Linked DNA regions of Oryzias latipes. The protein of the gene in region 2 interacts with the protein of the main gene of each other region in a pairwise test. Links are inferred from orthologs where the notes say so. Each region holds a gene or a part of one and is shown on either strand. Other genes may lie near its edges.

What was found.
Region 1: the proteins of retinoic acid receptor RXR-gamma-B (region 2) and metallophosphoesterase MPPED2 interact in binary tests that used the Homo sapiens proteins (3 or more experiments, as listed by UniProt). The two-hybrid records come from large-scale screens. The link is inferred for Oryzias latipes from reciprocal best matches to the Homo sapiens genes RXRG and MPPED2.

The regions. Positions count from the first base shown.
Region 1 is NC_019861.2:5,992,075-6,007,356, forward strand, and holds the start of metallophosphoesterase MPPED2, read left to right. Parts: upstream 1-7,136; 5' UTR 7,137-7,528; intron 7,529-8,145; exon of another isoform or gene 8,146-8,251; intron 8,252-8,446; exon of another isoform or gene 8,447-8,750; intron 8,751-9,124; 5' UTR 9,125-9,297; coding exon 9,298-9,410; intron 9,411-15,282. UniProt on the Homo sapiens protein: Displays low metallophosphoesterase activity (in vitro). May play a role in the development of the nervous system.
Region 2 is NC_019862.2:29,480,669-29,496,168, reverse strand, and holds the start of retinoic acid receptor RXR-gamma-B, read right to left. Parts: upstream 7,183-15,500; 5' UTR 7,026-7,182; coding exon 6,995-7,025; intron 1-6,994. UniProt on the Homo sapiens protein: Receptor for retinoic acid. Retinoic acid receptors bind as heterodimers to their target response elements in response to their ligands, all-trans or 9-cis retinoic acid, and regulate gene expression in various biological processes.

The DNA.
Region 1 (15,282 bases), on a different chromosome or scaffold from region 2:
GATATGCACTTGAGTTTGGATGCGGACTCATTATAATTAACCTTACACACAAAAAAACCTTCATGTGTAAGATTTAAAATCCTTTTAGCAACTTACTGAATTTCAGCCTTTTGTTGTAGGAATAGGAGATGGTATTAATACCGAATGGTGATGTTCATAGAACTGTTGTCAAGCAGCGACATTTCCTCAGTGATAATGAGGTGAGGAGCTTTTTTGAGTGCAGGTGCTCAGGTTAACACCTGAGATAACCACAAACCACTTTCACTGCACCACAGTGCAGCCCTCCAGTGATCTCCATCTAACCAATTAACATGATTTAATAGACAGTTACTCCAACTAAAATGCAGTGTCGTACCCTAATTTATAGGGTATTGACAGTTTCTCACATGCAGGGAGAGGAGAGCAGAAGCAGAGGCTGGGTAAAATAGGATCTCTGGGGGAGCTGAAAAATGGTTTTGTTTTTATAGTTTTTCATTGGTTAGGCAAGAGAAGCTGAGGCAAACCAAGTCGGAGTTGTCTCCTGTGAGCTTTTGTCTAGCCTATGGCACAGAAAGTGAGCCTGCATATTACTGAGTCCATCATAACACAGCAGGAGAATGGAGGGAGGAGAATTAATACACTTGGCTTTCATGCAAGTACGCTCCCTCCATGCCATTCCTCTCCGCTACACCTCAGCTCTCCATTTCTATTCAAGCTCCACTGAACACAAGTACTTTATGTAGTAGTAAAATTAGCCAATATGTAGATTTGACTCCTTTTACATATCCACTCTAGTCAGGAAAAATTTAAGAAAAAGACAGTAATATTTTAAAAGACGAAATCCTGTGTGGCCAGCAGCTTGGTCCTTTGAGTGCAGTTAAGGCTCAGGGGCAAACATTTTTTCTACTGGGCATTTCATTGAAATGGACATTGGTGATTAAAGGCAACAAAGATGTAATTCCACTCATATAAATAAACTTTTTGCATTTTCCTGTTATAATATACATTTTTACCTTTTTTTAGTTGAGAAATCATTTTACTCACTTTTATGAAAGGTCATAAAGCATACGGTCTCTGCCCAACCTCTACATTTTCTGCTGCATAAATGTGATCAGTGCATCATGGGAAAAACAAAGTGATAATAGCAAAAGCCATTTCTTCTGTGACATTTGTTCCCATATCTCTCATCGGATTTCTACGTGCAGTCAGGAGAACAAACGCTGGCCAAATGTTTAAATGTGAATATGCCGCATTAAATTTAAACCCCGCTTTCAAAACTTTGGCTAGATGGAATTGTATGTTTTTTTTCCTCTGCAGATAAGACAAAAGTCAATTGAAAACAACCTGCGGGGCTGTTGTGCCAGTGGGGGACTTGGTAATGGACCTGAGAAATTGAAGCATGTCGGTTAAATTATAGAAACATAGCTCTGCCTCAACCTGCAGACATGGAAATGTGCTGTAGTTTCTAAGACGAGTGTGTTATGAATCGTCCAACGCAGCTTTTTTTCATCAAAAATCCCATCAGTATATTAAAAAGATACAGTCTTGGCCCTCATATTTTTTCTCCCTGAATAATTTAAATTGCTGGTGAACTCAGTGATTGGGCAGCATTTCACTTCTGCCAGTTACCTTCAGAAGAAAACGTTTTTAACGTATTCTGGTACCTGCAGAGTTAAAGAACACACACACCCACACACTGAACAAACATGAACTGACTTTAATTATGACCTTATATAATATTGCATTACACAGACATTGTGCCCCATTAACACGACTTGTCAACAATAAAATAAAGAGCCCCCCAGTCAGTAGATCCTGACATTAATAATTTTAAGAGATTTTTATTGCTCCCCTGACATTTTAGCAACCACCATCAATGGGTCAAATGTTCAGTGCTTTGAATTAGTGATGAATTTTTATTACTAGCATCGCAGAAGATTCATCTGCAACTTTCTTTCCTTCTTCGCTATTTAAAGAAGCCCAAAGACAACAAAACACTGTCCAGGTACTAGGCCTGCACAATATACCGCAAATTTATCGTTATCGCGACATCAAGCTGTGCAATATGCATACCGCAAAAGACGGCGAAAATCGCAATTAATGGTTACCTTGACCCTTGTGCTATCCTAGGCACTTTAACATTGGGAGTTGGGTCATCTAGACCCACTAGACAGTGCTCTGAACCTTTTTTCTTCAATGATTTGTGATCTTTACTGGTGTCCATGGATTACATGAAATCTTTCCACCTTTATCCACCTTTGTCATGGTAGGGAGAACACGTCAAAGTAAGGGTGGGGTCATCTAAGATAGCACAAGGGTTAAATGTGCTAAAACAAACTCATGGCAGCTTGAAATATTGAATAAATGAAATAAATCCCTTTATGCATTTAACCAATCGGAAGGACCCGTTTACGTTGTTGATCAATCAAATGAGCCCTTTTATGTTTGATGTTTGCCTCCTATGTCGACAGGGGTCATTTGGAGTATAATTTTTATACTGTTGCATTGAAATGGAAACTATGTTTTTGGTTGGTTTGATATTTGTTTATATACCGCAAATTATATCGTTATCGCAATATTAATCACCAATATCGCATATCGCAAGATTTCCTCATATCGTGCAGCCCTACCAGGTACCAAAGGCTGCATTAACGACACTAAGCCTCTTTCCATCTTCTGTGTTCACTATAAGTAATTTTAACACTTATTTAGTTGTGGTTTAGGTAACATCTGTTCAGTGCATTCAATCTCTTTCGCTTGTTTGGCAGTTATCGTGGGTTCTGCAACTCCAGTTTACTGCTGGTTGGTGGAAGTGAAAGGTCTTGCTTAACTCTACTTGATATTGACAGTAGTGAGAGATACTGTCAACTTTGTTTTTTCAATTAAAATTAAATTGAGGAGTGTATGAAGTATGACTTATTTTGATGCCATTGCTATTGTAACTTGGTCTGTATACACCATTGACTATGTACAGTAAACCCTTGTTTTTCGCGGGAGTTACGTTCCAAAAAGAACCCGTGATAGGCAAAATCCGTGAAGTAGAAACCTCTATTTTTTTAACAAGTATCATCCAATTAAAAACTCTATTATACATTGAAAAGAAAGAACAAACCATTTTACAGGCTCAAGCATTTGTTTCACAAATAAAAGTACTTTAGAAAAGTTTTCTTTTCAACAAATAAATTCTGTACTGTACTGTCAAATAATAATTTGAATCATCAATGTGAACAGAATGCTTCAGATCGCGGAGATAAGCAACGCCCACCGCGACCCGAGAAGAATTGAATTAAACGGGAGAAAATTTAAAATGATAATAAAAAATTACAAAGTATAGTCGGACAAATAGTGACTCAGGTGTATATCAAAGCTCTTGAGAGTGAGCCGCTGCATCCTGACTCCGCTCTGCAGTGTTTCCTTCTTCTGAAGCCCGCGGTGCAGGTGTGTTTGTTCGGGAGCAGAACATAATGATAAACAGTTGTTGTCGCTCTGTTTTCTATGGGTTTAAGAGAAACTCCAAATTGCAGGATGATTTGCACGTACGTGTTGTAAATTTGGCACGCTGACTTACGTACGTGTACATATTAAACTGCAACGTTATTGACGCGCAGGTAGAGAAGAAGCAGAGTGACTTTTTAGCCAATCAGAATGCAGAACACAATGCACGATGCAAATCCGTGAAAAGTAAACCGTGTTATAGAGAGGGATCACTGTATAAGAATTGGACTGAGTGACTCCTCCCCCACTCATGTTCCAAATAGGAGGTAGCCGCTGGCTCCAAGAAACTAAAATCCCACAGACTTCTATGGAGAAACTCATTCTATTGGTCAGAATAACTGTTCTTCCTCTGATTTATTTTTAAACATGTTCTTGATCATTCTAATGCTTTTTCATTTAAGTTATAAACTGGCCAATCAGATGCCTCAATAAAAGTGAGCTGTCTCTCGCCAAACCTTACAAACATTTGACAGATTTTGTGTAGTTTCTTTTCAAGTGGTAGGGGTATGGAAATCCAACAAGCTCACTCCTGATTGGTGAGAGAGGTGTCCATATACAGTAAATGTTGACTCTAAACGGACTGGGACTAATCACTGCTTACTGATGACATCTGGCTCCAACATGGCGATCTTCATATTGTGAAAAAATGGTGACTGAATTTACTTTGTTTCATTTGAGCTGGAGGTAAACCATTTTCTATGGGTGACATCACACTGACTCTGTCCAGTTCTCCTTTATAGTCAATGTTCCCAACCCTGGTCCTTGGGGAACACTGTCCTGCATTTTTTTAATCCTACACTGCTCAAACACACCTGCCCTTGATAACTGCCATTATCAGGCTTCTGCGTGGTTGGATGATGAGCTGAATCAGGACAACATGGAAAACATGCAGTACAGTGTCCCCTGAGGATCAGGGTTAAGAAACACTGAAATAGGCACAGAGATGATCCATTCAGTGTATTATTGTGTTAGATGGAGCTTCAAATTATAACTTTTTTCTACTCAATTACTGTTTGGATTGTTGAGTTTAGGGGGAGTAAACTCTAGTTATTGTACCTATGCATTTCAGTTTTCATTTTCGCCATGAGATTATTTGCCCTGTGTCTACATGACTATGTCCGAATTCACTCACTACTCCCTAACCCCTAAAGGACCCCAATCCAGTACTTTAGATTTCATGGAATTCTGAGACATGCTTGTTACTTTTATTTTTTAAAGGAAATGTGACATTACCACTTTGCTGAGTAAAAACCTTATAAATAAGAACATTTTACGACGACTATTTATGAATCCACTGTGTTTTGATGATGGGAACTTGGATGAATTATAGAATTGACATTTTATTTAATTTTTTTTTCAATGGAAAATTCTTCAAACACAATACATTGTGTGCTATATTTGCCAATCTAGTCAGCATCAATGTGCACTGGTTTTTCACAGAGACTCCAGGGATGTATTTCCAGAACAGTAGATTTAGGATTGTTGGGCTCTGTCCAAATTCCTTCTCTACTCTCTAACTTTTTAAAAACTATATACTGCAGCAGTGGCGTGGATTTTAAAAGCAATTTAGACAGCATGCCCTCTACTCTTTTTTTTTTAAACACCAAATGTGATGTCACCAATTTCACAAAGTGTTTTTGCTCCTTTGGCCATATCTCTTCAGGTTTCGCATCGTAAAAACCTAATACTAGCATTTTATGTTGACTATAAATCTACTGTGTTCTGATGATGAAAATATTGATAATTTATGAAGAAAGAAGAATTCGCAAAAATTGTTTGAATGCAACGCATTCTGGTCTATATTTCCCAATCTAGTGGGCATCGATATATGCTGGTTTTTTGCAGAGACTTTTAGAAAATTTCTATCGCTCAATTTTAGAATTGTAGCTTTGGACAGCACTACAAAATGACAAATGTATTATATAGTTCACTATGTAGTGAGTAGTAAAAAAACAAACGGACTAAACTGTAGATTCTGATAAAATAGTGAATGCCCTATATAGTGCACTAAGCAGTGACGGAAATCGGACACAACTGATGTCTATGCGTGGAACGGGCAGGAAAGCAGCCAGACAGGGATGATGACCATTCCTGTTACGTTCCTCCTTTAAAGACCCACTCCAATGAAAATTGTGTTTTTGGTGTTTAACATGTTCTTATAGCATTTTTTTTTTATAATAGAGGACGTGTATAAATAATTTAAGATTAAAATTATGTTTCTGAGTATTTCTTTATTCAAATCGCGTTAGATCAGGAGCAGATGAAAACAGGATGTTTGAAAAAGCATGCACGGGCTAAAGTCTAGCTTTTTCTGCTCCGATTCTAAATCCTCCACTTGCAGACAAATTTTCATTTTCTCGTCTGAGCTGCAATCTGGCTCTAAACTGTGCGACTGGATTCTTGTGATAATGCTTGCTGGTTTTTTTGCTACGCTACTTTTAGCTTGGGCTTGTGAAGCACTTTTCGCTAGTGGGAGAGATTGTAAACAAAGGCATGCGGGGAAGTTAGCTAGGCAAACTTCTGCGCAAACCACAACCCAAAAGCAAATTTCTATTGAGCTCCTCTGCAGAAAATGTCTTAAAAACAGCTCGTTTTTTATTTTTATTTTATTTTATCTAAAAGATCACTAGGAATGATTTTGCAATAGAAATGAAAACCAAGTTGGGGAGGGACTTTAAAAGGGCCCATATCATGCTATACTTACTTACTTTTATAGTAAACAATATCCATGTATATGTATTTTATATATGTCATTATGTGTGTATGCACGCTATCAGAAAGGGTCAACTTATTTGCCTTCTCCGGCATACAAAAGAAAACATTTTTATCAGTTATTTTCCCCCCGGAAGTAAGACGACTTGATCTCTGAGGCACAGCCTTTACTTCCTTGTGGGTGCCGCCTATTTCATGACATCAACCAACCTCAGCAGCATGTCTCTGTCTTGACCACACAAACAAAGATCCAAACTTTTGCAAAGATGGATGTGCATATTGTGCGTATAAAAGCGTTTTATACAGCTAGCTCCATGGAGGAAGTGTGAGTGTGTTAACCTGGGGGCGGAGCTGGCAGTGCAGACTCTTCCTGGAAGGGGCTGTTCCCCAATTATCTACCTCAGCTCATGAGAAAGGAGGGGCTGTTGCTCAGATCACAGATTTTTAGAGGGATACTCAGAAATACGTGAACGGTCAAAATACAGCTTTGGGGTTTCTTTTTGTGAGGAATGAACAATTTTATTACACTTAAAAGCTCAAAAAGTTAATTTAGCATGAAATAGGCCCTTAAAACAGTTGGGCTGCAGGAAACCCAGATCTGCCATGTGTGGCGTGTCACCTGCTGCATCAGCATGTGGATGCAGACATGATGACAGCTTCAGAGGAAAGGTTGGTCCATCCTACTTCATGCTACCGTTTTTGTCCTTCCATCTTTTTTGTTTTCAGTTTTCTCAAAGTAAGGTATATCAAGTTCCCGTTAAAGTCCTTGTCTGACTGTGTCCTCCACAATCTTCCTTTAAACACTTATTTTTGATTCAACATATTTGTTTTTCTGGGTGTACATTTCAACGGGAAGCTTTATTTCCGAAAGTAAGTGAATGCAACGAGAAAGCGGCACGTTGCGCGCGAGCACAACGGTAGGGTCGCGCGCGCACGTGAGGTGGCAGGGGGTTGTGCTCTCTCCTGCTCTCTGACCCCAGCGGCAGCTCCGACTCACTGCACCCCGGCTCCCCCTCCGACAGACCGCGGCTGCTCTCTCTCCCCCCCTCCCGTCTGTCAGCGTAGTCTCTCGTCCTTCTCTCGGGCTCCTTCTCCTCCTTGTCTGGTTTCTTGCCACAGAAGCCAGCAGAGGTCCCGCCGGGTCGAAGGTTTCGCCCTACCCGCCCAGACTGCCGCAACATTCGGACTGCTGCTAACGAGCCCGCCCGCTGTCCTTCTGGCACCGCATGGACCAACGTTCCTCCTCCGCCGCCGCTGCCTCTGCGTAGAGTGCGACCCCGACCCGACACTGTTTCTTCGGCCACATAACAAGCAGAAAAGCCCAAACAAACAACAGAAGAAGGTACTGCAGCCTTTCCGCTTTGCTCTAAAATATCACCGGGAGGGGGGGCAGAGGAGAATAAAAGACAGGACCTGACACAAAGCCGCCACTTCACTGGCGGCTTGTCATTTACGAGGAGGAGCAGGAGGTTAGCGGCGGTGCTTTGACACCGACCACCTTTGGCTGTCTGGTGTTGTTAAAGGAGCAGAGTTCACGGCAGAACCGACCTTCCTTTATGTGTGCTGCACCGCGAGCGGCGCAAAAGTCATTACGTGTATGCACGGCATATCAGAAAGGGTCAATTTATTCGCCTTCTCCGCTTACCGGAGGGATTTCTCCCCGTGAAGTTCGCTTTGTGGTGGACACCGCCGGCTCTCGTGTGTCCACCGAGCGGACGGGACGATGTCTGTGTGCGACGCCGGCCGCCGCGGCTGGCGAAAGGCGCGAGCGATGCGAAAATGTAGAGCCGGCGCACATTTAGCTAGCTAAGCTAGAGAGCTAGCTGCTGCTGCTGCTGCTACTGTAGCCATAAGGTAGACAAGGCAGGGAGCCCTCCACCCCCACCCCATTTAAACTCACGCGCGCGCGTACTCTGAGGAGACTTTGAAGCTGCACGCGCACTAAATCAGTCCTTAGTGTTTCGGCCTACATTTGCGACATTAAGCTCATTTGTTGAGTCGCTGCAGAAATCCAGCTTTTTATGGCTTTCTTTCTGTTGGCGGAATGATTTTCCTCTAAACCTAAGTAAGTGATGCGCTTAAATAAAAAAAAATTCATTTGCAATCTTGAATTTTCTGCTGTAAAAAGAGTAATTTTAAGCCTAATGTTTGTATGAAGGTGTTCCCCTTTTGTTGCATCATTCAAAGGTTTTTTTCTTTTTTTTCTTTTCTTCCAACCTTTCTGGATCAAATGAATTGATGAGGGGGGGAGGGGGGGCATGCATCCAGGTGACCCAGAAACCAGAAATCAATGCTCTCTCTGGTGGAAATGGGGCAGTTTGGTCAAAGTTAGCAGCAGCCTTTGCCTCACCCGTTGTTGCATCCCAGGACTGTCCAGTGGGCGCTGCTGCTGCCAATTATTCTCCAGACTTTTTCAAGTGAGAGCTTTACGCCCCATGACTTTCTTTCCCCCTGGTGCCTGGATGCATCCGCAGGTTGGGTATAAAGCGTCTGGTAAACACAGCAACTATCAGGTCAGACAGGAAGGAGGCTCAGGGTAAAAGGAGACGCCGCAGCAAAGCTGGGTGAGTGATGCAAAGCAATGCTTGTCCTCAAAGGCTGGAATGCTTTTCTTTGCACATTTTGAATGGGATGGATGTCTTCTTGGGATCAGCATCTTAAACTTTCCCCTTTTGCAACACCGGTTTTATGCTGGGAAATTTCTGATCAACGTACAGTAAATTCTTGCAAAAAAATTTGCCTGCATTTAAAATTTCACACAATGTAAAGTTTTTATTTCATTTCATGGATACAATACTTTGTGTTTTATTAGACAAGTTTAATTTATTAGTTGCATTTTGTTTGGCTTAATGAAAAAAAAAAAGCGGTTGATGTGCAGTTCCATGTTGTGTCTCCAGAAAGTAATGTGTTTGTGTTTGTGTTTGTGTTTGTGGTCCAGACTGTAGCAGTGCAGTCGGTCAGTCGGTCGGTCGGTCGGTCGGTCGGTTGGTTGAGTGGCTGCTGGTGCTGCTGGCAGACATTCGTGGGCTTCTTGAGGGACTCTGAAGGATGACCATCGCACAGTTTGCTGCTCGGTGAACAAACGGCATCTCATGTCCAAACAGCTGAAGGATGGCTCATGGCAAAGTGACCATCACAGTGGACGAGTACAGCTCCAACCCGACACAAGCCTTCACGCATTACAACATCAACCAGAGCCGCTTCCAGCCTCCACACGTCCACATGTGAGTACACGCTGTCGAACACGGTCGAAACTGTTTAGCTTTTATCTAACAATGTTTGTGGGTCAGTAGTATTATTTCAGAATCATCCAAACAGCTATAGTGAAGCATAAATCCAATCTGGAGTATTTTAAGGTTTTAAGGCCATTAAGTAAAAATGATCTAAAAAGCCGTAAACTAGACTGAAAGTTCTTGTTTTAAAATTCTGCACGATGTAACTCCGGATCCGCCAAACTGAGACAGTTTTGGAATGCTTGTTTCCACTGTCGTCTGCTTAATGCTCATGCGGCTCTTTTTGGTTCTCATTGTAGTAAAACAATCAGATAAGTAGTGAGACTAGTTAAGTGTGCAGTCAATAGTGGCTGTGGTTGCTGTGACCTGTTGAATTTGTTGGAATCTCTACATTCGCTCCCTGACGCGCCACATGATTGGTGCCCTTTACTCCACAGCTTTCCTCAAAGTGAGAAATTCTGACATGCTTTATTTAAATTTCAGTCAAATTTATTGTCATCCTATTTTACTGTTTTTAATGTAGATGTTTTTGGTCAAATTGCTTTCAAGGTTCAGTGTTGTGTAGAAACAAAGTGCCTCCCTTTTTGAAGGCTCACACATTCCAGCAAAACATCAGTTTGTCTCCTATCCACAATCCTATTATTAAATAGTTTATTAAATAATTTAAACTGCCGTTTATTTAAAAAAAAACACTTAAAGTTATTTTTTATGAATAAAAACCAGACAAAAATAACCTATGGAGGATCATTCATTCGAACATCCGGAGCAGACGCTGCAAACAGTTTCCATGTGTTGCATCTATGCAGTGAAAATGAAAAAAAGGTCTAGAAAAAGAAGAGTTGAAAACACAATCTACATTTGCAGGCAAAGCCTTCTGAAATCCACATATTTGTTTTGAATACATAATGCAATTATTATTTTGGATTTTATGTTTTTTTAATATATTAAATTAATTTGTACCACTGTCAATTATTTTTATTTCATATGCTTAATTGCCCAGAGAGTGGGAGCTGATGACAGGATAGTATAAACACATTTCTCTCAATGTTTGAGTTTATATATATAGTTCATGAAAGGTTTATGAAAATGACTAACTATTGCACTTAAAGTCAGTTTTGATGTTGAACTAATGCTTCTGATGTCTACTAGTATTAACTTGTGTATTTTATGTGAAGATTTAAAAAAAAACTCTTTTCTCATTGAATTAAAATTTCAATGTTTTTAGAGAAAAGAAAAAAATACTAAGCTAATAAAAACATTCAAACTTATTGCAAATGATTAAAGTTAGTGTGTGTACACCTAACAAATACATTTTTAATTATGTTTTACATATTAACCTCATTATAAGAAATAGCCTTACTTTTCACATTAATTCTATTCAGCTAAAACTCTATTGTAGTTTAGCCAACTACGCCATTATGGTGTTCTGTCGACTAAAACCAACGGTCAAAATGACTAAAATATGACTAAACCTAAACAGCATCTAAGTCAAGAGATTTTGACTAAAACTATAGGAGAATTGTCTCTTGGAATGAAAAGTGCTGAAGCGCTGCAAAAAGATCTGGTCATCATCTTTAATGAATGCCCAGATGCAGTTAAGTTTTTCATGGCAAAATTTCTTCTGGAGATGAAGTTTGAGCATTCCAAAACTGGAGGCTGCATGCATATTCATGTGTTTACTGTAAGGGAGGTGGGGGGTTGAAGTTTTGAAGCCTGTTTAAAAGGCTTATTTATTGCAGAAATGTAAACATCTTAAGAGTCAGCCTTCACATAAACTACATCACAGATCCCTGCAGACTGCTGAGCTGAAAATCCAGCCATCCAGCATTTGTGTTGGTGTTTCTTTTATAGTGTTTACCCAAAATGCACAAGGTCTGGTGATTCTGTTCCTAATGTTTTAATTGAAACTGCATTTTATGAACAAAATTAGAACAATTACAGTGGATTAGTTTGGAAGTCCTGGGAAGGAAACAGTTTGAAGAAAATCAAATGATTGAAGGCCGATAAAGTCACATGAAGCTGTGATGCTTTTCAAAAGATTTGAAGCTATAAGGTTTCTGTATGAAAACAGGTGATAGAATTGTCTGATGGCCATCTGAAGCCTCAACAACCCTAAAGACCCACTTCAATGAAAATGGTGTTTTTAACATGTTCTTGTAGTATTTTTCTGATGATGGACAGCACATATAAAAAATTGGGATTAAAACGAAGTTTCCGAGTTTTTTTTTCTTGTTTTTTTTTTTCTGTGAATCAGGAGCAGATAAAAAAAGGAGTTTGAAAAGAGCTTGAAGTTGGGTGGTAGAAGCTACAATCGGCAGGTCACAAGTTCCCTGTTCCGTTTCATTCTGATGCATCCACTTGCAGACAAATGGATCCATGAACATGTTTGTTTTTCTTGTTCGAGCTGACATCTCGGTTGAATTCTATGTATTCATGATCCTTTTGATTTTATGTTTACTTTACAATTACCGTTACGAAGCCCATTGAGACGACTGTTGTTGTGATTTTGGGCTATACAAAAAAATTGAATTGAATTGACTCTCGCTCAAAGCTGTATGGCGGAATAGCTCCATTATTGCTCACCATTGTTGTTACACCGCTAGTGTAAGGTTGGGGGAGTGAGGAACTATAAGCCAGATGGATGACGGGAAGTGGCGGCGGGCTTACTATGCACCAACAGTCCCGTCCACAACTCGGAGGTGAATTTTCTGATAATCTCCTCCTGCTCTCCAGAAACTGTAAAATTCTAATCTTGGTAGAAAAAGATATGGAATGTAGACAAAGATCTGCTCGTAATTGAAGATCTACGTAGATTTGGCAAACTGAATGCATTCTGTACAGGAGACACGGCAAGGAGGAGATTGATTGACAGTGGTCTATAGCCAATCAGGACACAGAACACAATGCACTGTAACATTAAAAGAAAAAAGAAAAAAAATATTCTAATAAATCTGAAAAACAGGAAGACAACATTGTAGCAAAGGACCAATGTTTTAGTTTGTTCCATATTTCCTTTACCAGTACCTTTATAAGACACTGAAGCAAATGTCTGGATGAAGGTTAATTCAAACTGCCCATGTCAAATGTAAGGAAGCTCTCCTCTGTAGTAATTATGTTCAATAATTTAAGATGCACTCACTGAAATAACGAGACCAACACTCCAAGATTCTTCTATTAGAAGGCAAAAGAGCTAAGAAAAAATTCCCCTAAAGTCACTAATTTCCTGACCTTTTTCCGCTTTGTTGGTGGTAGGATTTAGAAATGAAGTTCAAGTCAAAGGGGATGTATTGAGGCCGTGGGGCCTCTCAGCAGATATGTGTTTGGATAAATACATTAGTCCATTTCCTGGTTTCCACAGAGCCTGCAGTGTTTAAGCCAGTCATTCTTTAAGTCTGAGTGGGAACCTTGCAATCACGCTATAGGCCCATCCCCCCTCCATCATGTTCAAGTGTGTTCTCTTCTAGGAAAGTAAAGACTTGTTTAGATTGGGGAGGTGGGGATCCAGCGTGCGGGTGGTTCTTTCGCCATTCACATCATTCAAACATAAAAAATGTAACTTCTGTGTTAGACACAGAAAGAGAGAGGAGGGTGCCCCCTTTTTTGAATTGGAATCCCAGCTCCAATGTTTTTAACACCCCCCCCCCCCCCCCCCGACAGAATATTGAGATTTCTCAGATGGAGTACAGGAGGGTCTTTTGTGTAGTTCAGAACATGCTGGTGGAGCGCACACATCGTCATACAATCTCTATCACACAGACACACACACACTTTCCAGCTAATGCATTGGAACGTGACCCTGAAGTCAGAGTTAGTTTTCTTCGGAGCATGGGACGTCCGTCTGTGTCCTGCCCTGTTTGTGTCTGGTTTATTTTTCCAAGCTGTCTGTATTTTTTTCCCCTGTTCAGCCTCCCTCTCCTCGTCTGTGTAATGAAATGCAACTTGATCGTATGCTTGGGGTTTGTTCAGAAATGGCTTCCTACTTAGCTTCCTACTTATTTAAATTATACAATCATATTACCAAAACAATAACCATTGGTGTAAAATAATATTTGAATGTTTGAAAGTCCTAGTACTAGACTAAAAATCCAACTTTCTCTCTGAACTGATACTTTATTTAACCCATCATGACGATCAGCACATGTATCGCTTTACTTTGCTGCTGCAGTCGAGGTCGGTGCCGGATAAGCCGGCTAAGCGTCGCACCATGTAACAAATACACAAAAAGTGATCTCAACCGAAAAAATAGCACGAATAAAGTACGAAAAACTGATTGAATATTAATTTATTTTGTATATAGTATAAGCAGAATAATGGCCTTCGAAGTGTTACAGTTTTTTTCTAACTGTATTACACGTGATACCAGCTACAAAGATTCAATTGCAGAAATACTGGATTTATTATTTTTTTGCTCAAAATCATTACACGTTCTCTTTTATGTCAGGACTGCAAGGAGGACATCTCCTATTCTGTCCACCTCTTTTGCAGCCATGTAGTGCAAACTTATAAATACTGAATAAGGCGGACCTAAAAGTTTTTAAATTTTCTCCAAAATGTACCTTGGTGAGCCTAATGTGTTGTTGTGTGACTTTGGTAAAGAGGACGCAGGAGAGGACAGCATGAAAACGATAAGGAGGGAAGTGAGGACGTGAAAGAAGACACTCCCCCGAATAGTACAATAATGTAGGTATGTGCATTTTGCAGAACAACATTGTTTTGGAAACCCTGAAAATGCAACCTGCAAAGAGACACGCTTATTAAGCACAGTTTAAACTGCAAGCTATCAGCTACACGGAGGAACATGGGAATCGAGCAACAGCGAGAGAATTCAAGATGAATGAATTCATGGTTCGCAAGTGGAGGAAGCTGGAAAACGAACTCTGACACGTCAAAAAGACGCAGCTGAGTTTCCGCGGAAACAAGGCGAGGTGGGCCGAGTTGGAAGACCGACTCAAGCGATGAATTCATGATCAGAGAACAGCTGGGAGAAGTGTCTCTATGGTCACTATTCAACTGAAGGCAGTGACGCTTGCAGAGGAATCGAAAATTGGGCAATTTTAATGAGGTCCATCTTGGTGCTTTCATTTTATGAAACTGTGCCATCTTTCCATCCTGTCAAGGACTACGGTAGTTCAGCAACTTCCATTACATTGAAAAGCTGTCCATCTTCCCCTCCTATCCAGCCCAACCACATCATCAGTATGGATGAGGTGCCGCTCACTTTTGACATCCCGGTGAGTCACAGTCGAACAGCGGATACAGTTTTACTAAGACTGGGAGGCTGCGCCGGGCAATTTACGCCACAGCTTGGGCTAACGTGTCTGCTTGCACTGTTCTTTGAGCTTTCGCAAAAGCCGGCATCATTCATAAGGAGCCACATGGCAACAACATGGATGTGACAATGACCAAAGGGAACCTGGCGTGTTTGATCGAAGCAGTTCTCACATACAGTCAATTGTTTTCACTCATGTGAGTCCACAAAAAAAAGGAATTCCACCTTCTAGGAAAAGACCCTGCCATATTTGTTATCAGGTTTTGCAAACATGTTAAACCTTGTTTGTTCATTAAACCTACTCATTGGTAGGGATGGGTTATCAATACTACTTCTCTTATCGATACTTTTCTGTGTGAAAACGAGGAGGGATAAGACAAGTAAACTACAGTGTGGCAAAAAAGTATTTAGTCAGCCACCAATTGTACAAGTACTCTCACTTAAAAAGGTGAGAGAGGCGTGTAATTTTCATCATAGGTATACATCAACTATGAGAGACAAAATGAGAAAAAACATCCAGAAAATCACATTGTCTGATTTTTAACGGACAAGTATTTGGTCACCTACAATCAAGCAAGATGCCTAAGGCGTCGG
Region 2 (15,500 bases):
TGCAATAGTGATAAAATGAGATGAAATATCAGATATTTTTGTGTAATAAAATATTCATTTTAATTCATACAGCCATCACAATAAACTGGATCTTTTACGACTATCAGCATCATTCTGTTAAAACAGAGCTCTGATATATTTCAGACACTAAGATGGTTAATTGGAATCCAGTTCTCAAGGGTATTTAAACTGTCTTAATGCTGCGCTTTTAAACATCGGCAGAGGTGGTGTATGTTACAAATCCAAAGACATTTCCAGGTTAGCAGCTGAAGATCTTTTTTTAAATACAGTCTGGAAAAAAATTGATGTAAAATGTCAGAAAGTCAAAAGTCAGTCAGTTTGTGAGCGCACGTCTGTTCTGATACAGAACAGAAAAAATATATTTCAGGAATGTAAAAGCTCTTTTTTTTAGCTATACTATTTCATCTGCTATAGAGGAAGACAATATATTAAATTATTTATGACAACTAACAAAGAGTGTTGTGTAGAAAGGTTCAATTCCCAGAGTAGAATAGATATCTTCCACTGACACTGACTTTAAATCAGGATGTTTTGTCAATAAATGTAGATGCCAGCAAACTCTATTTATGATTAGAGTGTATAGTAAAGTAACACTGAATCATGTATTTTCATAAACCATACAAGAACACATGGATTTGACCTAAAAAAAAATCTGCTATCTTCCTTTTTTAGTAGGCATTTTTTTGACAAATAGATAGATAGATAGAAACTTTGTTAATCTCCCAAAGGAGAAATTCATACTGTGTTCACATCCCATAATGTCCGGCTACTGTGGCCATTTGGGTTTAGTTGCTCTGCTCTGAGCACAGACTTATCAGACTAAGGAAACTCAGAAGTTCAGTCCGATTGGAATCGTATCAAGACCGCCTCGAAAGATGGGTCAGAGAGCGGTTTCTGGTCCCAGATCAGGCTCCTCTTGGGTGCATTCAGACTGAAGATTTGTTCCGGATTATCGGAGGAATCGAACTCTGGTTCACTTTAAGCGAACCAAGTGTGTCCAGTCTGAGCACCTAAAAAAGTACAGGCTTAAAAAGGTGGCCATACGTGTTCCTCCAAACTGGGAACTGCTAACGAAGAGCGCTGTACTTGATGTTGGTGAGGGTCCGAATGATTTCATTCTGTAAAGACGTCACATAAAACCCTAAAAAAGATTTTGTAAAAGAGCTTGGAGGCTGAACTTTGGTTCAGTCACGCTGCACCACCGTGGTCTTTTAATGAATGTCTAAATTCTCATAATTGGTTTAATTAAAAAAGGCTAATCTTTCAAACATTTTTAGATTATCTTTTAAAGTCAAACTAAATAACACATTGCAATTCCGCCTGGATTGATGAGGACAACATCAAATGAATGTTAAACACGTGGATTTGATTACCGATCCTTTTCCTTTTAAGGATTCATTTGTGAGTCTGTAACAGGTGGAACTCTGTGTGCACAGCTGCAGCTGTACTTTTCATGTAAAGGGAAGCCTTTAATTGAGCTTTCCTGCAGCTGGTCAGTGGATTTATAAAATCCAACCTGGAGACCTTCACTGTACGTACATGGGACCTGCAGGTTACCTGCTCTGCTGATTACTCTAACGTGGGCTAAAAACTTCACATCCCAAAGGGAGGGGGAAATTGTCTAAATTAGACCATTTATCTGTAAGACTATTTTTAGACAAAGGGTTCTGTTTGAGTGGAATGCTTTAAAAACAGCAAAAATTTGACAGAGCAACTAAAATAAGGATTTATCATCAGTTATTATAAACAAAAAGCTGAAATTTTTAAAAATACAAACCTTTTATCTCTTTAGTTAAAAGCGTGATTTACAGGACTTCTATAGAAAAAGTCTGACTTCAGCTACGTGCACACTGGGCATGTGAGGCACGTTCAAGAAAGCATTAGACAAGTGGTCTTGGTAGCATGTTTCGCCAATGATGTTCACATGGAACAAGCAAGAAAGGGGGTTCTGGTGAATCTTGCTCCAGGCTTTTCTTTCACAACTCTATTCTGATATATGAAAGACTTGGTGTCATAGAAACGGGAATAATTCATATCCTCTTCATGATCAATTTTCAAACAGTTGGCACTTCCATGCTTTGAAAAGGATGCCATCCGTATGTCCCAACCCAATCTGAGTCCCTGATTGGTCAAAGGTTGACCTTTACTTTCAATGGCCATGTGTCTTGTACTTAAAGCCAGGGATGTAAAGATTTATTTGAATAATAATTTGATTTATATCACAATCTGTGGTTTCCAATACGATTCTTAGTCGATATTGGACAAACTGATTCAATCCGATTGACTGACCTGAAACGACCTGAAACCTCCAAACGAGCTGTAAAACAGCTTCAGTACATCCAGAATGCTGCTGCTCGAGTCCTGACCAGAACCAGGAAGTATGATCACATTAGTCCTGTGCTCAGGTCTCTGCACTGGCTCCCTGTACCTCAAAGAATAGACTTCAAAGCAGCTCTGCTTGTGTACAAGTCTCTCCATGGCCGAGCACCAAAGTACATCTCTGACATGTTGGTGCCATATGAACCATCTCGTACTCTGAGGACCTGAGGGGCCGGCCTCCTGTTGATTCCCAGAGTCAGAACTAAACAAGGGGAATCAGCGTTTCAATATTCTGCAGCTAAAATCTGGAACAGCCTCCCTGAAGGCGTAAGACAGGCGTCTTCTGTGTTCATGTTCAAATCTAGACTTAAAACATTTCTGTTTAGCCGTGTATATGACTGAAAGGTCCTATCTGCACTTTTCTTTCCTTTCCTTCCTTTCTTTTTAAATCAGTTTTCAATTTTTTTTTTCTTTTCTTTTAAAGTAAATTTTATGTTGATTATTTCTATGATGTATTGTGATTTTAATGCATTTTTCTGTTTTGTGAAGCACCTTGAATTACTTTGTGTATGAATTGTGCTATACAAATAAACTTGCCTTGCCTTGCCTTGCCTTGCCTTGGATCCAGGACATCTTTAGCCAAAACTTCAAACAGTTTGACCATTTGGGTTTAGTCAGACAATCGATCTGGTTGGATGAATCGATTCATTGTTATGCCGCTACTTAAAGCCTGAAAATGGTCTTAAAAACGTACAGAGCTATGTGTGAACACGAGAGTTTTGAACGTCAACTTTAACGCACGAACATTTTCATTGGTTGCTTGAGCACGTGTTGCCAAAGGCAGTGTGAACGTAGCTTTAGACTGAACTACGGTTCCTGCCTATGTCGACGGTCAAAACCAACTGTATGAACATACAGATCCATTAACGCATGGTTAAATGCATATTTCATTCATTTTAACATTTGTCTTCAGCCGTTTGCTTTAAACTGTTGATTATAATAACAAAACTAGTTTTTCTGCTTACAACCACTGAGTAAGATTGTTCCTAATTGATCTGAAAACATTTTGTTTTTTTTCAAATGCAAAAAAAAAAGGACAGTTTTTTTTTTCTAGTTTGTTTGATGAATAAAAGAGTCAGACTTCATAGCCCCAAAATGTTGATGTGCGGTACTGTGAAATGCTGTCTGGCGCTGTACTGTTTATGCATTTATTTACCTTCGTTTAAATGTTTTTTTTATATTAAAGTCCCACTCAGATCATTTTTTTATCTATTTACAAAGCGTTCCCAGCGATCTTTTCATTCTGATTACGACTTTTTTATCCAAAATAACAGGAAATCTTGTCATTTTCTAGGACATAGTTTCTGCAGAGCGGCAGGAGTTCCTTCATTCATAAAAATTTTTGTGGGTGGGACTGTTTGCGCAGAGTAAGTCCGCCCCCATTTCCCATCATTCTTTTTGTTACACCCTCTCCTTCTAGCTTACCTCACAGCCCAAACCGAAAAATAGCGGTGCAACAAAAATGGCGAGCATCATTGTAATTATCCAGTCATACAGTTTAGATCCAGATTCCAGCTTGGAAGAGGAAAACAGAGACGTTCGGGAATCTTTCTGCAAATTAATGCATCAGAATGGAGTGAAGATAGTTTTCTATGTCACAAATAGGACCTTATTCAAACCGTTTTTGTCTGTTCGATTTCAACACAGAAATACTCAGAAATGCAAATTGAAGCTAATATACTGTATGTCCTCCATCATCAGAAAAATGCAATAAAAACATGTTAAAAATACAAAAATCGCATTGGATTTTGTCTTCAAAGCAGATTATTCATCTCTTTGTTTGAACAGTTTTATTGTATCAGGTGAAGATAAAAAGGGAAAACTGCATCATGCTCTCTATCAGCCGTCTGCTGTGTGATTTCTGATGACCGCCATGCGACTTCTGCCAAAGAAAAACACGTGCATCCATGCCTGTTTGCTTGCTGTCACTGCAATAACAGAAAAGAAATTGCTTAATCCATCTCATGATCAAATCCGGATGCAGCCCTTGGGCCTTCCAAGGTTCTCCACTTGATTAAAGCTGGAATTAAAACAAGGCTTTGACCTTCATGACTAATGACTAATTGCAAGCAATTAGCCCAAAGAATTGACTCTTTAAGCTCCTGGTTTTTTTCTTGTTCCTAGTCTCACAATCAGCAGCTGCTTAACAGGGTTTCACGCTGACTTACAAACACACACAAAGTAGTAAAACCCATGTTCTGTTTTGGAGACGGAATCTAAGGTCCCAGGCTCAGGCTCGGGTGTTTCAGCGAATACAGAGAGCCACACCCTCCATACCTGGGAGGTTCATCTAATTCTGCAAGCTCCTGAAACTGTAACTGGGAAAAAGCTTTTAACGCAGCAGTCGTCACCACCGCATTTTTCTTGTTACATGTTCATACAGTCAGATATGCATTTGGGAGGCCTGCGTGGATGCGATGCAGTGTGGCTCCGTCTCTGCCTCACACACAGATGAACTCTGACCCCGGCCCGGTGATGAGAGTTCAGGTTAACTGGGGTTACCCCTCTCTGCCTTTCTTTTCTGTTTGTTTCCCTCCCTTCGACCTTTTTTCTCTCTTTCAGGACTTCCCTGAAATCAGTTCTCACCAGCAAAAGTTGCACATTGGCGCTCGGGCTTGTCTAGAATCACTTCCACTGACAGAAAATATAAAATGCTGAAGTGCTGAGAAAGAAAAAATGCTGATTCTACACCTCAGCCCCAGGCAGGGCTGCGTGAAGCCTCCCGAAATGTAAGGCGTCTGCGGGGAAAGGCTGAGGAGGATCTTGAAACAATCCATATGCAATCAGCAAATACTTTCTTGACTCCACATGCCTAAGCTTCAAGCACATTACAAAGTCTGGCTGCTTCAGATTTAAGGCACAGGCTTAACCTATAGCTGTTTCCATAAACTTGTGTTGGAGCCGGGACGTCAAATAAATCATAAGTGAAAGCCAGACGCCAAAAAAAAGCCAACGAGACTGAAGCCTCTACGTACATTTTGTGTATCTTCCACGTATAAACTTTTGGCATTTTGTGATCCATGCGTGATATACGTGATTCATAAGTGTTTCCTACGTTCATCATCGTGTCATCGTAATACATTTGTAAATTTCCACGTAAAGACCACAACCTTTCTAACTCTTTCAAACGAATATTCACGCATTACCAAATTTCATCCATGCAATATGCGCAAAATGTACGTAGTGGCTGTGTGAAACGGCCTTGAGATCAATTTTCTTATGAGCTGGGTTTTAACTTAGCGCTTCGAAATGAAGTCTAGAAACATAAAAACTACATTTAGGGTCAAAACATGTTGGAAAATGTCATAAAATAATTTTTTAAAAGCTATTTTTGCTGTGGCTGCTTTTACAAAATACTATAAAAGGTCTTGCCGTTTTGCCAGGCCACATTTGAAATTAAGAATATTGTTCGTAATCTGGATAAGTAAAGGTTAAAAGATATATAGCCAACATGCAAAGACCCATATTGTTTATTTTTTAATGGTTTTCATGACAAAAGCGTTTTAAAAAAAAAAGTTGATTGATTTAAGAATATTCCATTTCTAGGAAATAGCTAGTGACCATAACTGATGTTTATCTTTATGTCATATATGTTGAACATAGCTGAAATCCTGGGATGCCACTGCTGATCACTAACAGATGAGAAAGACCATGAAGCCCTGAGGTTACGGCTCTGTTGCACAGAAGACTTTCCCATCGAGATGATTCCGAAAGAAGCTTTCTTTTGGGGTGGAAATGTTCTGGAACATCTATCCATAATGTGCGTCCCTGTTAGATTCTAATATCTTTAATTTCTCACACAAAAGCCTCATTTTGTGGTGTATTTTTACAGCAGAGCAGCAATAAATGTGTCATTAAGGGAGGAGGGAGGAATCACATGACAAGTGATGCATGACTCAGCAAGACAAAAGGAGCATTAGACTTAAATTGAGATTCAAACAACAACTATTTACGCAGAAAGTCGAAGTGGGTTCACAACACATGTTGTTGCTTTTTAAAGTCACTAAAAACATTAAACCAAACTAAAGCAGCAGCTGCTTTTAAGGCTGGAGGATTAAGTTAGGGATGAGGAGGGTTCGGCGTGAGGGGTGTCCCGGTTATGGAGCTGAGAGGCGCAGAGCGGCCCGGATCGGGGCGCGTCTGACGCGCGTCTCCGTTCCTCGGAGGCTTTAAGTTTGTTTATCAGCCGCCATTCCTCCGCGCGTTTCTGCGCACTCCTTCCTCGGACCATCCTAGACCAATAAATTCTGCTTCTGTCTCAAACTGTTTAGCAAGAGACGCGCGACAAGCACCATAAATTACATAAGCGCAATTAAAGTGCCAACCTCTGACCTTGCCGGATCGCCAAAATCACGATCGCCTAGGTTGGACGAAGGTTTGCTCGTAGGCTTTGAGGAAAACCTCCGTTTACCGGAGACCCCAAACCGTTTCTGCGGACAGGAGTTGCCGGGTAAAGTCCGCCAGCACTTTTTCGCGCACAGCTTGCAGAGAGTACAGACGCCATGGAAAGTGAAGTCTTCGGAAAACGCCGTGGCTTTGCCGGCTGAAACGGCTGCCGCGCGGCGCCGCGCACATGCGTGGAAAGCGTACTCACTCAGGTGCAAGTATGGATCACTGCTGTCCATAGTGTGCGGGGTTTTTGCGCGGATTTCCTACGGACGGCGCAGCTCCGCATCCCAGCGCATTCCTCTCCCAGCCCGACTGAACTCCGCGAGGCGGGCGGCTGAGCGCGCGGGGGCCCCGCGAGGGAGGGGGCGGCGGAACAGGGCTTCTACTCCCAATGACAGCAGTGGTCCATATCAAGCTCCGGCGCAATCATGGCGAAACATCTCCCCTGCAGCTACACCGTGTTGCAATGTTTTCCCAGAGAAGGATTGCTGCTGGTGTAGGGCGGGAATCTCCACTTTTAGCCATTTTCCTCCTTATACTCATTAGTTGCTGAACGTTACATTTGCATGTAATCATTTTTATTACTAGTTCTCACAGTGTACTTTTTAATTTGTGTTTTCATGTCTGCAACAATAAGAAGAATAAACCCAAACAGGAAAAACTAGTTGTTTTCCTTTTTAAATTACTTGCTTTGCTCCTTTGAGGGGACCCCCCCCCCCCCCCCCATCTGTTTGTTGTCAGTGCTAGTCTCAGTCTGGGTACCCCCATCCCTCCGGAGTCCCCTCCCCACACACAGCCCTGTTCAGATTGCAGGGTCATGCAGGGGTGAAGCTCCTGGTACCTCAGAAGGTTATTCAGGAGTCAAGCTGGGCTGAGGCATTCACAGTCTTGAACCGCAGAGCAGGCAGACGCTCGGTCAACGCCAGGCCGCTGTCCACTCAGCAGACCATTTGGGGCTGGCCCGCTAATGGGACAAGCACCCCCCCAGCTCCACTGTCCTTGTAACTGGGAGCCATAAAGGAGCTCAGGAGGGTCCTAACCAAGATGAATGGCATTTTTTTCCCCGGCTCATTCCACGCTAATCAAAGCTTTTCATTTGGTGTGGCCTCACGCCATCCCCTCCGCTGCAGCCTCTATTAGGTCAGATAGCATATAAATTCATTAAAGTCAAAGAGGGACATTAAAATGATCATTTGTCAGAGCCCCCTTTGTTTGTTGCTAATGGTGGCACATGGTTCAAGGCATTGAGATGATTTTAGTAAGACCTTTTTAACTGCTGTGCATGAGCAGGGGGACGTGGGAACAAGAACGCTGGAAAAACCTTTGCTTTTCTTGAAATAGTGACTTACACCTCCTTGTTATTTCTTTATTTATTTTTGTAAGATAAATGAGCTGCTGCTCACCTGATCCGCCTGTTTTTTATTTCATCAGGATGTTTGAGTTAGCCTCTTTTTGCCTGATCACATCAAATGCTTAAATTGGTGATAATCCAATCCATCAGTTTCAGATTACGACTCCCCCCACTTCAGAACACACATGCAAAACTCCCAGTTAGTGAAGCAACCGCTAATCCCTTTGTATTCACAGCCCTGTTCCCTCCAAACAATGTCCTGAAGCTTAATCCTAAACCAAGCTCAACCAACATATAGACCACCTGCTCTGCAAGTCACAGTGCAGCTAAGAAAACTTCAACATCACAGGTTGCCTTAAACCGGAAAGCTCTCCAAAACGGTGATGCAGTTTCAATTTCAAACTGAATTTCTCCTCGTCTCTGGCTGTACCCGTCCCTTGCTGTAGGACGGAGGCTTTGGCAGCGTCGTCATGGGAGGTGGCTCTTTCCATCTGCCTCCATAGTCATTAGCCCATCACGCTTTATCAGGAGGTGCTGCAACCTCCCCCCGCCACCATCACACCCTCCTGGGCCTTCCTCACCACAACCCCTACCCCCTGCTCCATACATAAGCCTGAGATGATAAGTGCTCAGGCCGGGATAAGACAATGCCACACAACACTACAGAACATCATCCATCTCAGAGGTCATCAATCTGAAACACAAAAGATGAAATGTGAGTCGGTTCCCTTTCGGCAAAACGAAGTTTGTCCTTTTTTCCTGCCAGATTTGGTGATATTTATGTTCAACCTGTGCCTGTTGTGTTTCAAACACCACAACTTAATAGAAACAACCAAACATTTAACAGTAAAGTGTTTGAAAATGTCAGAGATGAAGCTGTCAAGCCATCCAAAAATCCTCAGATGTTTTCAAATTAAGTAAAAACCCCAATTCAAATCATATTAATCATTGTTTGTTCATCTTCTTTTACACCTTATTAGGTTAAGATTATCCCATGACCAGTATGTGGCTTTTTCTCATCTGTTGTTTCCTTTCTGTGAACACATACATTTTCATTTTATCCAAAATAGTTGATAGAATTATTAGTGAAACAGTCTTTCAGAGCCGGAGACGCCATGCAGGCTTGGGATGACCGAGGACCACGAAGAAACGCCAGAGCCGTCCAAGACCCTGATGGTGGTTGGGCCCAGAGAACCAGGAAGAGAAGGAGGCGAAAACCGGCGAAAACAACTGAAATAAACAAATGTTTGTGAATTTAAAAGCAGGAATTTGATCATGATTACATGATTGTTTTTTGCTTTTCATTTTATTTATACATTCTTGCCAATGGGCCAAAGGCCATGAATAGGCCAATTCACACTCTAAAATCACAAGATTTTCATGTAAATACACCAAGTAGAGCATAGTAAAACAAAAAATATGATGACATATTACATTATTATATACATAATATTTTGCTTTTATTTTCTTCATCTTATTTTATTGCTATTTTTATTCTTTGATTGCTATTTTATCACTTGCTTCTTTGCACTGTCATGCTAGTGAGAAACATCATCTCGTCTCACCTGTGTATTTCACTCCAAAACTATGCGTGAAATGACAATAAACCAAATCTTGAATCTTGAATCTTGAAACTTGACAGAGAAGTTCATTTGCACAAACCTTTAATATACGTCAAAATGGGGTGAATAACGGTAACAAGTTGTGCCAAAGCTTCACTTTTAACAGATTTTTTGAAAGAGTGTGCACACGATCTCAACTGTATAAGCAACATTTGTTTGGATTTATTTCTATTTCCACCACAAAAGCCACATTTGTTAATTAATTTGTGGCATCAGTTCCTTTTTCGGTTTATGAATTGTGGGAAGGAGGGTTTTGACCACGGCTATCGCACGCGGCATCACACGTATGCACAGTTATAGAAATAAAAGAATAAAACTGTGTTATTATTATTATACTGCTTTGATTACAGAACAATCCCTTCAGTTCATCAACAAGCGGCTTCGGGATCAGGCTGAAATGCATTAAAAATCAATAAAGGCAAAACTGTTCATTTTATTAGATTATTATTATTATTATTATTAAAGTTGTGTATTAAATGAAACCCAGAGTCCCTAATCTACTGGGTTTAAACTATGAAGATCACAGCAGATAGTCCTGCCGTCTCTGTGTGTTTGAGGCTTTGCACACGATCAATATGATGAGCCCGGACTGATGCAGACAAAGGACATTATCCCTCACAACATTACTCCGACACATCGCTTGTGATCAACATTTTAGGACACTGCAAAGCAGCCATATGGTTTTTGGTTTTTCGATACATCAAATCAAATCAAATGAACCACATGGGCTCTAACGCTCCAGATGCAAAATTAAAAATTGGGATTAATATAAGCAAATTCACATAATTTTTGATGAAAAATAACTTGAAAAAGCTGATTTGGCTTTAAATGTTAATGTTAGGTGGAGTCCGGGCAGATGGTTGGCCCTTTATTAGTCGTAACCTTCCAGTAATGAGTTAAGACTTGCTCTTCTGAAATGAGCTGAATCAGACCACCTCAGGTTAATCTCACTACGTCCTGAAACGCCTGTGAAGGATTAGACCCAGCGTCCACCTGCTGCTGTTTTATCACACAATGTTTGTTACCACTGCAATTGCAGCATTTCTAAATTAAAATTGATTATTGTCTTTTTTTTTTCGGTACCAAAATATCTATGTTTAAGCAGTAACAGATTCATCAAAGAAGTATTGTTCACCCCCATATCACCTGCAAAAAGCTGTTTAGAACTGCTCTGTCTTTATTTTACATTTTTATTTTAATTAAATTTGTCATATCTGCAGTTGGTCATGTGGTGAACATGCATTCTATTTAAGGGGGGGGCTCGTCTTTGCCAGGAGAAGCTCTGGAAGCCCCATGGGTCTATCTAGGAAAACATAATTCCAGGAATGGATTATTATCTGCAGACAGAAAGGTCCAGCCGTTCTACTGTCCTTGGCCTTCTGTCACATCTTTGTCAGTTTCACACTAGGAGAAATAAATGGACTTCCTGCTGAATGTCATGGTTGCTACACTACCAAATGATGCTACTACAGTAGAGAAATTTGTCATTGTGGCCTGCATTGGTCAGCTCACATACTGGTACAGATTTATAAATAAGGGCCTCATTGGGCGGCTTCTTTCATGAGTGTGGGTCTTCAGCAAAGGCCCAACGGACCTTACGCTCTCTGCTCCCTGGATGTTTAGTCACTGTCTGTCCCTTGTGTTAGGACAGAGAGGGAAAAAATTACTTTTCAGCGTCAGGCATCTAAGGACTGGATTTTTCTGTAAAGGACAATTGAGCTCGTCTGTGCTCCTACACCTGACCGTGTACCTGTACCTGTTCCTGTACCTGTACCCCTCTCCTGTACATGTTCCTGTTCCTGTACCTGTCCCTGTACCTGTTTCTATTCCTGTACCTGTTCCTATACCTGACTGTGTACTTGGCTGTGGACCCGACCTCTGGCTCGTCTCACGCCGCAGCCGTCCCCCAGTTCCATCTGGATGGAGTCCATCCGCTGGACTATTTGACCCTTGTGCTATCTTAGATGACCCCATCCTTACTTTGACGTGTTATTTATACCATGACAAAGGTGGATAAAGGTGGAAAGATTTCATGTAATCCATGGACACCAGTGAAGATCACAAATCATTGAAGAAAAATTGTTCAGAGCACTGTCTAGTGGGTCTAGATGACCCAACTCCCAATGTTAAAGTGCCTAGGATAGCACAAGGCTTAAACATGTAGTGATAGAGTCAGAAAAGCTATTTCTTCTCTATGAGTTCTGGTACATCGCCTGTCCGTCCTGGCGGAGGATCCCTCCCTGAGGTTTCTTCTTTTTTTTCTGCAATCTTTTTTTTAGGAGTTTTTTCTTACCGAGAAGGAGGGTTTTAGGGCAAGGATGCCCAGTTTAGCCTAGTCTGTTTAGCACTTTAGTTTAGCGATTATCTATTGAATTCTATGACTTTGCGTTTTTTATGATTTCATGTTTATTATAAATTTACCAGTATGAAGCCCATTGAGACTATTGTTGTGATATTGGGCTATATAAATAAAACTGAATTGAAGTGAACTATCACATCTCAAGACTTTGTCTTGGTTCTGAAGGACCTGGAAATTAAATCATTCATATGTTGTTTTTTAATCTTTTTTACTGTTTTAATTTTGTTAAATGTCTTGGGTTGTGCCTCAGGAGTCGCTTGAAAAAGAGATCTGGAGATCTCACTGGGACTTCCTGGTTAAATACTGGTTAAATAAACAATAATGATAAAAATAGTATTGCCATCAACAGCAAAAAAAAAAAAAAAAGACAGAATTGTATTGGTACCCGCACTAAAAGACACAAATTTTACTTTTTTTTTTACCTTACATCTCAGTCAGGGTACTTTCAGAAATCCCTTTATTATCACTGCTGTACAATATAAATGGTGATGGTCTCGAGCTGTTTAAAGAACATGTAAAAGTCAGGGTTGAAATAAAATAAAATGTAAATCAAAAATGCAATGATGAACCAGGGTGTGTAAAGTCAAATGTACATCTATTGCACTTCCTGAGCCAAATTTTGCATGTGGAAGGTAATATTATAGATGTTGCAGTGTTTTTTTTGTTTTTGCTTTTGTTTTTGTTTAGTAGGTTGACAGGTTGCCTGGAGAAGAAAGTTTTTGGTCTGTTTGTTGAGGGCTTTGTGAGAGTAGCAGCTGAAACAGGTGGTGGGTAACTCCAGTCCTTGAGGGCTTCAGTCAATCTTTTTTTCCAGAAATATCTGTCCCACTTAGTGCTTATTACTTGGATTAGGTGTAAGAAATCAAGCATAGGTGCAGTTGGAAGTCAAGCAGGGGAGCTGCCCCCCGCTGGAGACCCCTGATCTGGGTGCTTACCACTGACACACTTGTCCAAAAGAGTTTTTCTTCACCCTTTCATATCATGCTATCAGCACGTTGAAGCTGCACTCGGCAAACACGGTAAAGATACTTTCACTCCAGCTGGAAGTTAGACATGAACAATTGATCTAACGATAATTACCACTTAAGCTCTTGCAACCCTGTAGTGTTATTATTATACTTTTAGCTGAACGAGATTAGTTGACCTCTTTTTTTAAATCTGCTAAACAACCTGACGAAAGCTTCTCCAACTAATAACTGACAAGAACAAATGATCCCCATGTTGTTGAACAAGAAGATAACATCAGCATAATCCCTGCTTAACTTCAAACTTTTTTTTCAAACAAAATAATTGTCCAAACATTTTTGTTTGATTAACATGTGGAAACATCTGAAAATCTCGTTTGCATTCTTTCTCTAAAGGACATTGTTTTAGTCCATCTAAAAGTTACACATGTTTAAATATAAACCAATCTGAACTTTAACCTTGCAATAAAAATTGTAAATAAAAATGAGAAATATTCAAATTATTGGTATTTTTTAGAATTGGTCCTGGTCCATATGTGACCAAAGGGATCTATAACCAGCTATTTGGACTAACTGTTGTGACAGTAAAGGACATTTTCCAGCAGAAGACACGTCGGCAGCATACTTTTCTTTGGAGGAATCTGCTGTGCGTCCATGTCTCACTGACACAGCCATTGACCCCAGTATCCCTTAAGGGGATTTAACATCATTTTAGAAGTCCTGTACAAACTTGACTAGATGTTAACAGCAAATTACACCCTGATGTGTGCTACTCGGCAATGTTTACATGATTGACATGTGCACAGCCTCCATGCCTCAGCAGAGTTGGTTGACGAGTGACGCGTTAAAACCTTGTCATATCCTGTAACCCAAAACATCATGAAACATGAGTACACTGGTATTAGGAGAGTTTTTTTAAGAACTGAAGCTGTCCCGACTGACTTAAGCAATTGTCTTGGTTGGAATGTTTTATTCAGATAGTAATACTGAAAAATAATTTTGATGAATGAACACTATTGATAGCTTTGGTCATGGAATATGTACGTTCTTTGGTTAGTAATTAATGTAGCTACACAATAGACTTTCTGTTTGCACAACGTACTTTTTTAAGGAATATTTTATCTGCAAGTTAAAAGATTTATGCTGGTTTTTGGACTTTTTCTTTTGAAATGTTTTTTTTTCTATCAGAAAGCATATTATGAGGTTTACAAAATATTTAGACAGACCAAAACCATTTGAAACATTTTTTTCAATGGTATCCAAGTACATCTCAGGTGTTATTAATGTATTTTTTATTGCTGGAAGAAGCGACTTGTTTGAAAAGTTACTTTAAATGTTTTAAAACATTTGAAGTAAATACTTAAAATGCAAAACATGACTGTTTTCACCTTTAGTCCTAAATACACGAGTTGGTCTCACAGCAACTTTGATTTTACAATCTTTCCCCAGATATACATCAAAAACCTCCTTGAGTGAGTAATTATTCAATTGGAGGTTATGAACTCTTCGCCACCCATCTCACAGGTCAAATTTAGACCAACTGAACGCAGAAAAGAAACTTGTGATCTTCCGCCTTCTAGTGGCAACACATTTCCTGAAACTCAAGGCGTGTGTTGCTCGGCGGCTTCCGTAGAGTTAGCTAAAGACAGACGTGTATCTGAGCGTCACGCGAAGCTTTATGCAACACCCCTTACAGTTTGACAGCGACGTGATGCGCGATTCTGCCCGGGTTTGATTCGCTTGAGCCTGATAAGTCACTAATGTATCGCTACAAAGATGTCGACAGATTTAATGTTAGACTTTACCAACCATCAGCAGTACCCAGTTATGGATAGTGAGGCAGCCATCACCTCCATCGACCACGGAGGAGAGGAGTGGGGTAAGGGGGGCGCTCGTTCTTTCTAGAAAAAGATTCAGACAAGGGGCCAACTGCTCCACACCCGTTACTTTATGTCCTAATTTGCGTTAAATAGTGAATAAAACTGTGCGGTTACATTAAAACATGCCTGTTGTTTAAAGCTGTTGGTCTATGAGTTTAATAAACGTATTGTTTGGTTAGCTTTAGCTCCTCGGTTAGCATTAGCTGTGGATGCTGAAATGACGTAATTTGCTGAAACCGCTAATGGAAGAAACGTCTGATTCGGTGTTTTTACGCAAACTTCTGTAGGATTTTTGATATAGAGTCAAAGTTATTGCTGCAAAAGACAAAAATACTCTGCATTTAAGTTCGATTTCGTTTTTGTAAATGCAATTTTAACCTATTAAAGGCACATGATAGTGGCTGTCTAGTTGTTGTCATGACGTGTAATAATGATGACGATCTCCTACATAATTATATTTTCTCTTAAGGTTTTGATGAACCACTTCATGTAAATGGGTTATTTTATAATGGATACTTACATAATATGATACAA